3 linked regions of the Solanum lycopersicum genome follow. The protein of the gene in region 1 binds, or shares a complex with, the protein of each later gene. Links are inferred from orthologs where the notes say so. Each region holds a gene or a part of one and is shown in the gene's direction. Other genes may lie near its edges. The genes, in order: suppressor of mec-8 and unc-52 protein homolog 2, splicing factor U2af small subunit B and serine/arginine-rich splicing factor SR30.

What was found.
Region 2: suppressor of mec-8 and unc-52 protein homolog 2 (region 1) and splicing factor U2af small subunit B share a complex: the UniProt entries of both Arabidopsis thaliana proteins name them as parts of the spliceosome. The link is inferred for Solanum lycopersicum from reciprocal best matches to the Arabidopsis thaliana genes SMU2 and ATU2AF35A.
Region 3: suppressor of mec-8 and unc-52 protein homolog 2 (region 1) and serine/arginine-rich splicing factor SR30 share a complex: the UniProt entries of both Arabidopsis thaliana proteins name them as parts of the spliceosome. The link is inferred for Solanum lycopersicum from reciprocal best matches to the Arabidopsis thaliana genes SMU2 and SR30.

The regions. Positions count from the first base shown.
Region 1 is NC_090806.1:9,685,408-9,689,581, forward strand, and holds the start of suppressor of mec-8 and unc-52 protein homolog 2, read left to right. Parts: upstream 1-1,280; 5' UTR 1,281-1,496; coding exon 1,497-1,546; intron 1,547-1,643; coding exon 1,644-1,784; intron 1,785-1,867; coding exon 1,868-1,917; intron 1,918-2,026; coding exon 2,027-2,144; intron 2,145-2,500; coding exon 2,501-2,549; intron 2,550-2,648; coding exon 2,649-2,738; intron 2,739-3,253; coding exon 3,254-3,322; intron 3,323-3,410; coding exon 3,411-3,534; intron 3,535-4,125; coding exon 4,126-4,174. UniProt on the Arabidopsis thaliana protein: Auxiliary spliceosomal protein involved in splicing of specific pre-mRNAs that affect multiple aspects of development.
Region 2 is NC_090810.1:58,046,516-58,049,773, forward strand, and holds the end of splicing factor U2af small subunit B, read left to right. Parts: intron 1-364; coding exon 365-491; intron 492-589; coding exon 590-986; 3' UTR 987-2,685; downstream 2,686-3,258. UniProt on the Arabidopsis thaliana protein: Necessary for the splicing of pre-mRNA. Probably active at the 3' splice sites.
Region 3 is NC_090800.1:85,834,248-85,838,558, reverse strand, and holds the start of serine/arginine-rich splicing factor SR30, read left to right. Parts: upstream 1-1,450; 5' UTR 1,451-1,551; intron 1,552-2,458; 5' UTR 2,459-2,505; intron 2,506-2,685; 5' UTR 2,686-2,690; coding exon 2,691-2,774; intron 2,775-3,408; coding exon 3,409-3,474; intron 3,475-4,068; coding exon 4,069-4,143; intron 4,144-4,240; coding exon 4,241-4,311. UniProt on the Arabidopsis thaliana protein: Regulatory splicing factor that modulates alternative splicing and gene expression in specific cell types. Autoregulates its own expression. Probably involved in intron recognition and spliceosome assembly.

The DNA.
Region 1 (4,174 bases):
TCAAAAGTCTAGTATCAGGCTTAATAAATCAATGGTTGCTGACTTTAAGCCATGTGCAGTGACTACTTAGAAGATTCATCATCAGCAATACGGTGATGAATAATTGGTGAAGATTCTCCACAAATAACATAACATTGAATCAATAAAACCACATTTACTTCATCAAAAAAAAAATCAATAGAACCACATTTGTCCAGATTCCGACAGTCCGTAGGTGGCATCGTGGTGCAGCTGCTGAAGGAAGATGGGGAAATCTAACCAAATGTGAGGTTACGGAGTGCGTGACGAACCGTCGTATTCATAACGATCCGTCCTGCTAGTTCGTCATGAAGGTCAGAGAAGTAGTCCAGTACCCAAATTCCAAGAGTTTAAGTGTTTTGGAACGGAGACCCTCGACGGACCGTTGTGCTTGTGACGATCCGTCATATCTGTCGTTGAGGATAATGAAGAGAGCAGCAGAAGAAATTGAACAAGTATGGGATGACGGAGTCCATGACGGTCCATCGTGACCACGACGATCCGTCGCGAGGTTCGTCGACCCAGCCGCGTTTTGACAGATTTCCAGCAAATAGAGTCCTTATGTAATTAGTTTTTTTTTTTATATAAATTGTTCGAAAAATCTCCTTTGTAAAGTTTAAGTGCAATGGTAATCGTAATCAAAAAGGAATTGTCACAAAAAGTTACCAGAAGACCATGCAGCCTTTCTCTTTTTCGTTTTTCCTTTTTAAGAAAAAGACAATGGATCATATACAAGAGTTTGATATATCAACAAATAAAAAAATATAAATAAGAGGACATTACTTCCTCTATTTGAGACGTATGGTGGCAAAATTGTGAAGATGTTTGACATCTTCTTCTTCTTGTTCTTTTTAAATCTTATTTTAATGTAGTAACAATTTTTTAATTTTATATTAGAAAAAGAAGAAGAATAGGAATAAATAATGTTTTAGCAAAGAAATCTTTTTTGATGTTTTAACAAAGAACCTTGTTGCAAAGAAAGTGTAAAAATAAATAAAGTGTAAAGGGTATTTTTGTAAACATACATTTTTTAAATAGAAATTATGCAAGATTTGTTTTTTCTAATACATCAAACCAAACAGTGTATAAAAAATAATAATTGCATAACTAATGCAAGCATTACTAATACACCCTATTTTGCATTATTCTTATACACTCTATCAAACGACCCCTAAGTGTATTAGATGGACATTATATATATATATATATATATATATATATATATATATATATATAACACCATTTTCTTATCGATTAAATAAAAAACGCGCTCATTAGATTGTCAAAATCAATTAGTTAAAAATTGATAGTGTATATCTTATTGATTTGATTATCTTCACAAATCGAATAATGATAAATCGAAACAAAAAGTAGGAAGTTAGGGTTATTTTAGTCTTTTGGGGATGTTTATATGAGGTTGATTGTCTTCTTCGCTCGTTTCACCCTAATCTGGAATTTTTGGGAATAAGGTCTCAATCATGTCTTCTTCAAAGCGAAATCACAAGGAAAAGATTGTTCGTCGCAACAAGTTTGTTTCTCTCTTTCATCTTCGATTATGTAAATCTCAATAGATCCTTCTTTAATTTGCTGAAAAATGGGGGATTTTTCTATTGTTTTTGTTACAGAGAAGAGAAGGTTGAAGAACCGGAGTTACCAAAGTACAGAGACAGAGCTAAAGAAAGGAGAGAAGATCAAAATCCTGATTATGAACTCACTGAATTTGGTGGTTTTCATGCTGTTGCTCCTCCCGGGAATATTGATCTCCTGTAAAAAAAAAAAAAACGAAACACCCATTTCTCTTTTTCTTCGTTTAATTTTGTTCTAACTTTCTTGTTTTGAACTTTTACAGCTCTGCTGATGCTCAGAAATTATCTATTGAGAAGAGCAAGTATCTTGGAGGTTCGTATAGTCTGTGGTTGTACAAGAATATTTTTTAGTTTCAGTTCAGCAGTTTTCTTGATATATGGCTTCAGCTAATCAATCCTTGTTTTGGCTGATTGTAAATTAGGTGATGTGGAACATACACATTTGGTTAAAGGGTTAGATTATGCTTTGCTTCACAAAGTGAGAAGTGAAATAGATAAGAAGCCAGAAACTGGAGATGAGGCGTTAGAAGGAAAAGCTAGGTAAGTACTAGGTTACTTTATTGCTTAGTTGTATGTATGACTCATTTACTTCAACCCCAGGAATAAGTAACTGACTCTCCAAGAGCCTGTTAGTAATTTTCAGCTAATAAAGTTGATCCATGTGTAGCTCCCATTGGATAAGACTGTAGCTTTAGATAGGGAGTTCTTTTGTAGATGCCCCTTTATATGTTCTTCCATAGATTACCCTGATTTAGGGACACTCTGCTAACATCTTTTTGTGTATATGCAAAGTAATGAGCATATTTAGTGAATTGTTCTTTTGAACACCATGTCTAAGAAGCAGTGCTGCTGGAAACTGTTCGATTAACTATTCTATTTATCCCTTTTGCTAATAGAGGTGTAAAGGAAGATCATCAATTGTCATTCCGTACTGCAACTGCCAAGGTGCATTAACTCTTTCAATTGATTTCGTCTCAAATATTTCTAGTTGTTGCTTGGTGTAGTTATGTTTCAATAGAGTGACTAGTAAGTTTGGGGTTTCAGTCAGTATACCAATGGATAATCAAGCCTCAGACTGTTATAAAGACCAACGAAATGTTTCTTCCTGGACGGATGGCTTTTATTTTTAATATGGTATGTTTCCCTTTTATACTTCCTCTGCTCTTATGTGTTGTGTATGCTAGGTTCTACTTGCCTGAAAAGGAATTATTTCACAGACCATTAGTTGAGTCCTCTTATAGTGCGCTTAGACTTGAGATGTAATAGTAAACAAAATTTTGTACTTGTGATAGGTAGCTGAGAAGCTTCTATTTCTATATTGGATCATACTTTTTTTTTTTGGGCAAAACTGTAGTTAACTGTTGATGTCACGCTAGAGTTTAGCTTGTATGGCGGGGGTGAATAGTCTTTTCCTTCTGAAGGCCATTCTTTTTCTTGGAGGAAGGTGGAAAGGGTGTTGTCGGAAATTAGATGCTAGAATCGTTGAAGTTGATTTATTTTACTACTAAAATGTTTGGTGATCAGATGTGTCATATGGAATATGGATAGTGAAGAAGATGTGAAGATTTTGTTCACTTGCGGTTACTGTGTGTATGTTTTCTTTCACGGTCTCTCTTTTTCTTCACTTATGGTTGATGTGTATATTGCAGGATAGTGGATACTCCAATGATATTCCTACAACTCTACACAGAAGCAAAGCTGACTGTCCAGTCCTCGAGGTATTTCCCTTTTCCATACTGCATTACTGTCAGGCAATTTCTTCCTGAATTTTCCATCTGAATGGGTTATCTCATCTATATTTTTCAGGAAATGGTTACAGTCAGTGTTGATGGTTCTGTTCTAGACCGAATAGCTAAAATCATGTCCTATCTCCGTCTTGGATCATCAGGAAAAGTTCTCAAAAAGAAGAAGAAGGAAAAAGATAGCAAAGGTGCTTAGCGTTCGTGCCTTCTAAACCTTACTGTATTTTCTGAAAGTAATTAGAGTCACAATGTGATGTAGATTCTTATATATCCAGTTTGTTTTATGGGAACCTTTTCTCTAATTTCCGACTGGTGTTGTTGCATCCTTGGTAGGCCTATTAATATTATTGCTTACGAAAGTGAGTTTGGGCCTGGTTTCCTATAAAGAAGTACAATAGAATGTTTTGTAGCCGGGATAGAATGTGGGTTATTCTTCTTTGAAACCGGGGCACAGGGTGTAATTGAGTGTGAAGGTAGTTGATAACTAGATATAGTATGATTCTGTATTTCCATGGAGACTAAAAAAGAGCATTTTGGTTCTCTGGAGTCCTTATTATGTGTTTCCAACACTAAGTATACCTTGCTTCTTTTTCCTTTTTTCTGGGCTTTTGGATCTTCTTCTGTCACCTGTACATTAATGAAGAGCTGGGGGAGGGGGTCCCTTTTGCCCTTTTCTTGTTCTTTTGTTGGTGGTGAGTTATCTCTTCTCTTCATTGATAAGGAGCTGCACTTCTATATCCTTGTTCTGTGTTCTGACACAAGTTTTCAATATTGTACAGGGAAGACAGTTATATCCAATGGTTATGACGAAGTATTGAAGTCGGATGC
Region 2 (3,258 bases), on another chromosome or scaffold:
GTTTATTACTATGTTTTATTCCAATCCCCACATGTTCTTGTAAGGGAAAATTAAATGTTCCGTCCCCATCCCACATATTTTTTCAAAAAGCTCATTTTATGTTGTGCAAGTTCCGAGGCAGCAATCTAAATTTTGTTTTTTATCACCCTTTACCACCATGCTAAAGTATTAGTTGTGTAAAGGGTGTTCAATGTTTAGTGTGTATCAATGAATGATAGATTTTGACCTATATACTACATAATTTATGGTGGCTGTAGCTCTCCGAGTCTCCAACCCTGATTGGAGCATATAGCCCGTCTTGTTCAGTTTGTCACCAATAGTTCATAATGTGATTATTTTCTCTCTTTGGTAATAAACTCTGCAGGAAGGCCCATCATTGTTGATTTCTCTCCTGTGACTGATTTTCGTGAAGCCACCTGTCGACAGTACGAGGAAAATGTCTGCAACCGCGGTGGATATTGCAACTTTATGCACCTCAAAAAGATCAGCAGGTTATTTCCACTCTATGCAAAATATTAACAATTCATTTATAAACAGTAGTCTTAGAAATTCAGTTGTAACTGACTTGTCTTTTATACCGAGTAATTAGGGAATTGCGACGTCAGTTGTTTGGAAGGTATAGGACAAGGCACAGCAGAAGCAGGAGCCGAAGCCCTTATAGGCATCGCAGCTATGAAGACCGCTCTCACAGGAGTCATAGTAGAAAGCATGATGAAAGAGACCATTATTATGAGAGTCGGAGCAGGAGGAACAGAAGTACAAGCCCTGACCACAGGAGGGGTAGGAGTAGGAGTCCCGGTGGCAGGAGAGACCGAAGTCCAGTTAGGGATGGCAGCGAAGAGAGGCGCGCAAGAATTGAGCAGTGGAACCGGGAAAAAGAACAGGCAGAACTTGATAACAGGGCTAATGCAGACAGTAACTACAAAAATGAAAGCAATGAGAATGGATCTGCTCCTAACCAAGATCAATATTATGATCAACAATGACAAGAAAGTGCATATGGATAATGAATGAATATATCGTGCTGGTTTGTGTCCTTATCCCTTATGATTTTTGATGCTTTTGTTCTGTCCTAATGTATTGTCTTCTGAGAGGGCCACCTGCCGTGTAATAGAGCTTAATGCCCATTTTCTACTTGCAGGGGGTGCAGGTTTTCAATTCTTTGATAAGCTATCTGAAAAGTTTTCGACCTTTAATTTTTTTGGTGTTCTGGCTTTAGATATGCTTCTTTTTGTGCATCATTCGTTGTTTGTTATTGCATCTACCCTTTGAATTATTATTTCAAGTTGAAATAGTGGTTTGAACATAAATTATCATTGAATTTGTAGACTTGAAGTTCCACCCACAATTTTCAACTGTCACAAACTTCTTATCCCAAAAACATAGCTATTTGAACACAACTTCAACCACCTGCCCTAAATGTTTGTGTCATTTCAATTTGTTTTACAATTTTGAACTTCTGTTGAGTGTTATAGGGTGTATACATTTTTCTTTGACTTATTCGTTTTGATGTGAAATTCCTCAACATTTATCCTATGTGACATTGTTCAAATTTCACAAACTATTGTGTTATTGTTTGGGAGAAAAATATGTTGTCACAAAGTTTCAAAAACTTGTCGAATTGGTGGTAAATTCTCTGCACTGTAATAATACCAGTTTCGAAAAAAGAAAAGAAAAAGGAACTCTGAATATCATACCACTTCTACATGTGCTATCATCAAATGAATGCTCATCATTAATTTGCCTTTTAAAGTGACTCATGCAGTGTTGCCTCCCAAAAAGCATTGTCGTGTAACGTTTCTGTTACAGGGTTTTCCCACTGCATATAAACTATTCCATAATTGTCAGGTAGGATTGGATCATGTAAAAAAGTAATAATAAACTCATCTCATGCAGTGTTGCCTTCCCAAAAAGCACTGTCGTGTAACGTTTCTGTTACAGGGTTTTCCACTGCATTAACTATTCCATAATTGTTCAGCTAGGATTGGATTATAAAAAGTGATAATAAACTTAGCTTGTCATAACATTTCTTGGTCATCCATTTGTTCTTCTAGGTTATCCAGGCTGAAATGTCCTTTTTCGGGATCTAGGTTTAGGTCTTGCATTTTAAGGGCTTTGTAATAAGAGACTTGCATGATGTTTACTTGTATAATCTTTTGCAAATGCATTGTGTGCTTGTTTGTGCAGTCAGGTTTCTTATGACCAGAGCTCATCCAGGCTAGTAGCTTTCAAACTGTTGTTTGGCCTTTTTCTTCATTTTTATTACTGCTTACCGGGAAATGTATACAGGTTGTGGAGCCAAATCAGAGGATATATACCAACAGGTTTGATTTCACAGGCATTTGCAGGGACGAGAGAAGAATGACCGATCTGCAGGTGGAGACGACAAATGTTCTAGTTCTTATTCCTTTAGTCTACTTTTAGGTTAGGGTAATGCAACTTCGGAACTTGGAACTGCTAGTTTTGCATCCTTCAGACTACTGTTTGCTATTATGAATCGCGGTGAACTTATACGAGACCAGTCTAAGGTCCTAAATGCTCAGTCGTCTAGAAAAGAAACTTGATGATATTATTTAGGTACTTCTATCTTTTACTTGGTTTTTGGTCTTCGAACTAACAGTACGGTCTGTACTGTGTGTATGTTGGCGTTTGGACAATATTTGGTTGAAGTTTGAGTTTAACTGACTGTGATGTTACCTTATTTCCTTATATTTGAATAGGATCTAGTGTTAAACTCTCTAATAATGCCTTATTAAACCTATTTAAATGATTTGATCAAAATTTAGTCACCTACTGTCAGCATGAATTGCATATGCTTTTCCAAAATAGTCCAAGTTCACATTGCAATTTCAAGAGGTAAAACAATATGTAGGTATGGTTAATTACACAATTTAAACTTCATGAACACTCATCACCACTGTGACAAAATCATAGCTCTTGTCAAAAGTGTTAGAACTTTAAAATATGTATCTTTTATATATAGAATTTCACACACGCATATATATATATATAATGTAATTTTTCGACAAAGGATGTCCATCCTGGATGGCCGTTGCTACGCCACTGTCTATAAATCGGTGCGTCAAAGAAAAAGAGGTAGCACAAACAAGATGATAAATTGAAGTATTTAGAAGATGAAAAATTCTTTATAAACACTCCTTTTATTAAGACCATTATTTCTTTCCAAATCTTTAAAAAATGTTGTATGCTTCATGGTGTTTAATCAACTTCCCAAATTAGACAGTTGAAGAGTGTATT
Region 3 (4,311 bases), on another chromosome or scaffold:
TTTTTTTCTTGCAAAACTCTTTATCCTATAAATTGAGTTTCTTTTGGTTGAAAAAAATAAGCATTCAAACAAAAGTACTTTCCTTTGAAAATACTGGTAAGACATTGATCAAAAGGTGAAATCACCAATTCAAGAGTAGACGAGCAACATTTTCGAATGCTACTTGTTTTGTGGCTTAGTTGAATCCCAAAGATAGAGTTGTTATTTATTATTCCGATTGCTCATGGGAAAGACTCTAACTATCTTCAAGAAACGTATTAACGTGTCTCTAAACCAAGCAAAAATTATTTTGTATTCCTTGTAATTTTATTATTCTTGTTCATTTGTTCTAACCGTTTCTTATTAGTGGGCGGCAATTGGAGAAATTGATATGAATGACTTGTATGGTCAGATTTATTAGTTTTTATTCAAACTATTTGTAACCATTTGAATTGAGTTGTTTGATCATATTGTGCTCTCATTACTTGCTTATGCTATATTTTTATCCTTTTATAAGAGTTCACCATCCTCTCCCTTAACCAATCATTATGCGTATATTCTAAGCTAGATTATGAATGTATTATTAAGAAAATGTGAATCTAAAATAAAAAGTTCGATTAGTTTGGTATTTATGTTTTAAGTATTAAAAAATTATTAAAGTTTTAAAAATATAAATATAAAATTATTTTTTATCTATCCAAATCACTTAGATAAGAGACTTTACCTAATTTTTAAAAAGAAAAACAAAACAAGATAAATAAAAGGTTCAAATTTCTAAATTCACGTGCATCTAATCATCACACGACACTATATGACGTTTCAAATATAGATTTACACATCTATAATTAAGTACTTTTTAACTAATATAACACTACTATATTTGATTTAAGAATAAAGAACATGAATTCACGTGAACCCACTAACCCCTCCTAAATATGCCTCTGGTTCTAAGAATTTCTATGCTGGTGTTTGCTTATGGCATTAAATAATAATTAATTTTATATTTGTAGATTAATGATATCTATTATATTAATTAAATATTAACCTTTAATTCTAAGGACTTGCTTAAGATAACAATGATAAGACACATGAAGAAGGATCAATTATCAAATAGTTGAAAACAACAAGAAAATTTACTATGCTATTCTTGACAAATTATTGAACACTATTAATTCAGAAAAAAAAAATTTACTCTCCTATATTTATTATAAAATCGAAAGATAGGTGAGAGAAGAATAATTATAATCTAATCCTAAAACACGTATTTTGCATATTTGATTTCTCATATGCAGTGGATTTTGTTTTTGAAAAAATAACCACCATTGGAAAAGTATATTTTATTTCCCACTTATCTTATTCCTTATGAGTTACTTTATCATTAAAATATTCAAAAGTGTCCTAGGACAGATGTCATGTATCGACGTGTTTAGATTTAGGAAAGTTTCTAGACGTAACGTTCGATAGCGACTTTTTTTCTCCTATATATAAAACTATTTCTATTTATTTTATCAACTCTAATCTTCTTCCATTTTTTGCTTTCTACGCAACCTGTCGTCGTTGTATATCTTCTAGGTTAGCTGCTTCTCCTTTTCTTCTCCTAATACAATTTATTAGGTCAAAATAACATGCTATTATTTTTCATTGCTTCTCTGTTTTGTCTATGCAAAATTCTGTTTTCTATGTCACACATAATTTTTGATTTCCTAGTTCTTGAAGAATCTTTAGGGTTTTTCTATTGTTTTTTATGCGATCATAATCAAGAGCTTATAATAAGAACAGTTTAAATATATAAAGGATTACCTATCAGTAAAGAATTTCGTTGAATTTCTTGATTTCCGTCTCCCCGTACTATTAATCGGCGGTTATTTGAGTGTTTGGCACGTTTTTTTTTTAATGGAAAATAATTTTCTAACGTATGTGTTGGTGTGATGACTATTTTCCCTAAAAGTTAGTATTAGATATTAACTATCCATAATATTAAAAATTTTGGTATTGTTCTGATGAAACTTTTAGGTATAAATGTTGATAGTAAGTGCAAGAAAAATGACTTGAGAGTTGAGTCATAAATGATCGGAAGTTATTTCTCCCTTTTGATGGAACCTGTTGGAAAATATCTTCGGAAGTTATTTCTTTGTATATCTGATGTTAGATGTGACTACTATTGCTGACGAGCATAATCTTTAAGAATTGATTTAGATTGATAAGTTTATGGTTTTTGCTACTCGGATTCTATTTTGATTTTGGTGTTCGTAACTTATTCTTTATGTAGAAAAATGATTTAGATTGATAAATTTATGGTTTTTGCTACTTGGATTCTTATATTCTATAAAACTTCATTTTGATTTTGGTGTTTGTAACATTATTCTTTATTTAGAAGCTTTTCTTTTACAAATCAAGAACTGTTATAGTTTTAAGATTATCTTCTTGTATTTTGTTGCGATGTTACTTTACTTTTCTTCTTTGTTTTATCCTTCCTTAGTTTGGCCATTCCTTAAGTCTTTCACGGATGAGTTACAGTCAACTTTGGTAAGCCTCTCCTCCCTCCAAACCAAAAAAGAAAAAGGAAATAAACTTCTCTTATTTGCATTCTTGACTGTCTACATTACCACTTAAATCTTACTTTACTAGATAAATTAAAAAGAATTGTCCACATTACCACTTCCAATGTTTGAACAAGCTGCTTATTTTTTTGGGTAATGATTTCAGGCAATATGGGTCGTCTAAGTCGGACTATCTACGTTGGAAATCTTCCTGGTGATATTCGGGAGAGAGAAGTAGAAGATTTGTTTTACAAGGTTAGTTAGATAAATTACTAGTTGCTGGAAAAATACATTGTATCCAATTTCATGTGCTCGCTATCACTAATCTATACATTTACCTTCAATTTGTTGCTCCTTTTGTGTTCATGCCACCTAAAAAAGCTACAATAGGTTTCATGAGAAGTTGTATTTTTGGATGGATCGGAGGATGAACGAATTTGATTAACACAGAGGGAAATAAGTTGCTCCTTTTATCCAAATCACGTTCTAATGAAAGCGTAATCATCTTCTTTTGCTTTTTTAGAGTGTGAGAATACTTGTTTTTTCCTCATTTAAGTTTAATCTCTTCAATGGTTCGGACCTATTCAGTGAGCTTCCATTATTGTCACAGTACTCATTCGGCCTTTCAGTTTTCGAAGTAGCTCCTGAAAGCCATCTAATTTGGTACTTTTGGTGTTCTTTTCCTAATAGAGAAGCCACACAACTTCGCAATGCAATATAAATTAGACATGTTTTAAGTTTATTGCTCAAGTCTTTCTGTCATTATGTTAAGTAATGTAATTGCTTTTGGTTGATTCCTAGGTAGGTTTCCTTGAGATATATTATAAGTTATGGATTTTTTTGATGTGTATTCACTTACCTTCTGAATTTTCTCGGTGATTTTCTGCAGTATGGTCCCATTGTGGAAATTGATTTGAAAGTTCCACCTAGACCACCTGGTTATGCGTTCGTAGAGGTGAGTTCTTTTCTAAGAGTTGAATCACTAAGATGTTAGTTTTATCCTTGGGAATCATTCTATTAGGGGTTTTGGAGATATATCCCCACATAAAAATCAACTTTAGTTTACACAATATTTGATTGGAGTTTGATCTTAGTCTCCACAGAAAAGCAAGAATTACTTAATACACTGTCTAGTTGTTCCCTTTTGTTTTCGTTATAATAATACATGCATGAGTTATGCAGGAATCATTTTATGTGGGATAGAATGAGAAATAAAAATATGTGTATCTGTAATGTAATACATGGATTTAAAAATGGCAAGAATATCATTCATAATAGTTCTTTTTTTTTAAAAGCAAACATATGTTTTAAAATTATACACATATACTATTAATATGTAACCTGATCAAACTAAATACCAACAAGAAATAATCTGCGTTATGCAATCCTTGTATTCTTAATCTTTACATTACTAATCCTGGCGTAAGTGGCCTCTAAACCAAACAATCCCTTATTGTATTGGGAGATAGCTCAATTTTCTGCATGCGTTTCTTTATGCTACAGAATTTCCGATAGATCTAATTGGTGTCATTCCTTTTGTATTTTCCAGTTTGAAGATCCTCGTGATGCTGATGATGCCATTCGTGGGCGTGATGGCTATGACTTTGACGGGCATCGCTTGCGAGTTAGTTGTCTCACACCCTCCCCTCCTCTCTTGGTGATGTGGTGATGTGGGAAGTCGGATCGTTTTACCATATTGTTGTTTATAATTATCTTTGTAGGTTGAACTTGCACATGGTGGGCGAGGATCATCATCATATGATCGCCACAGTAGTTACAGTAGTGCGAGTCG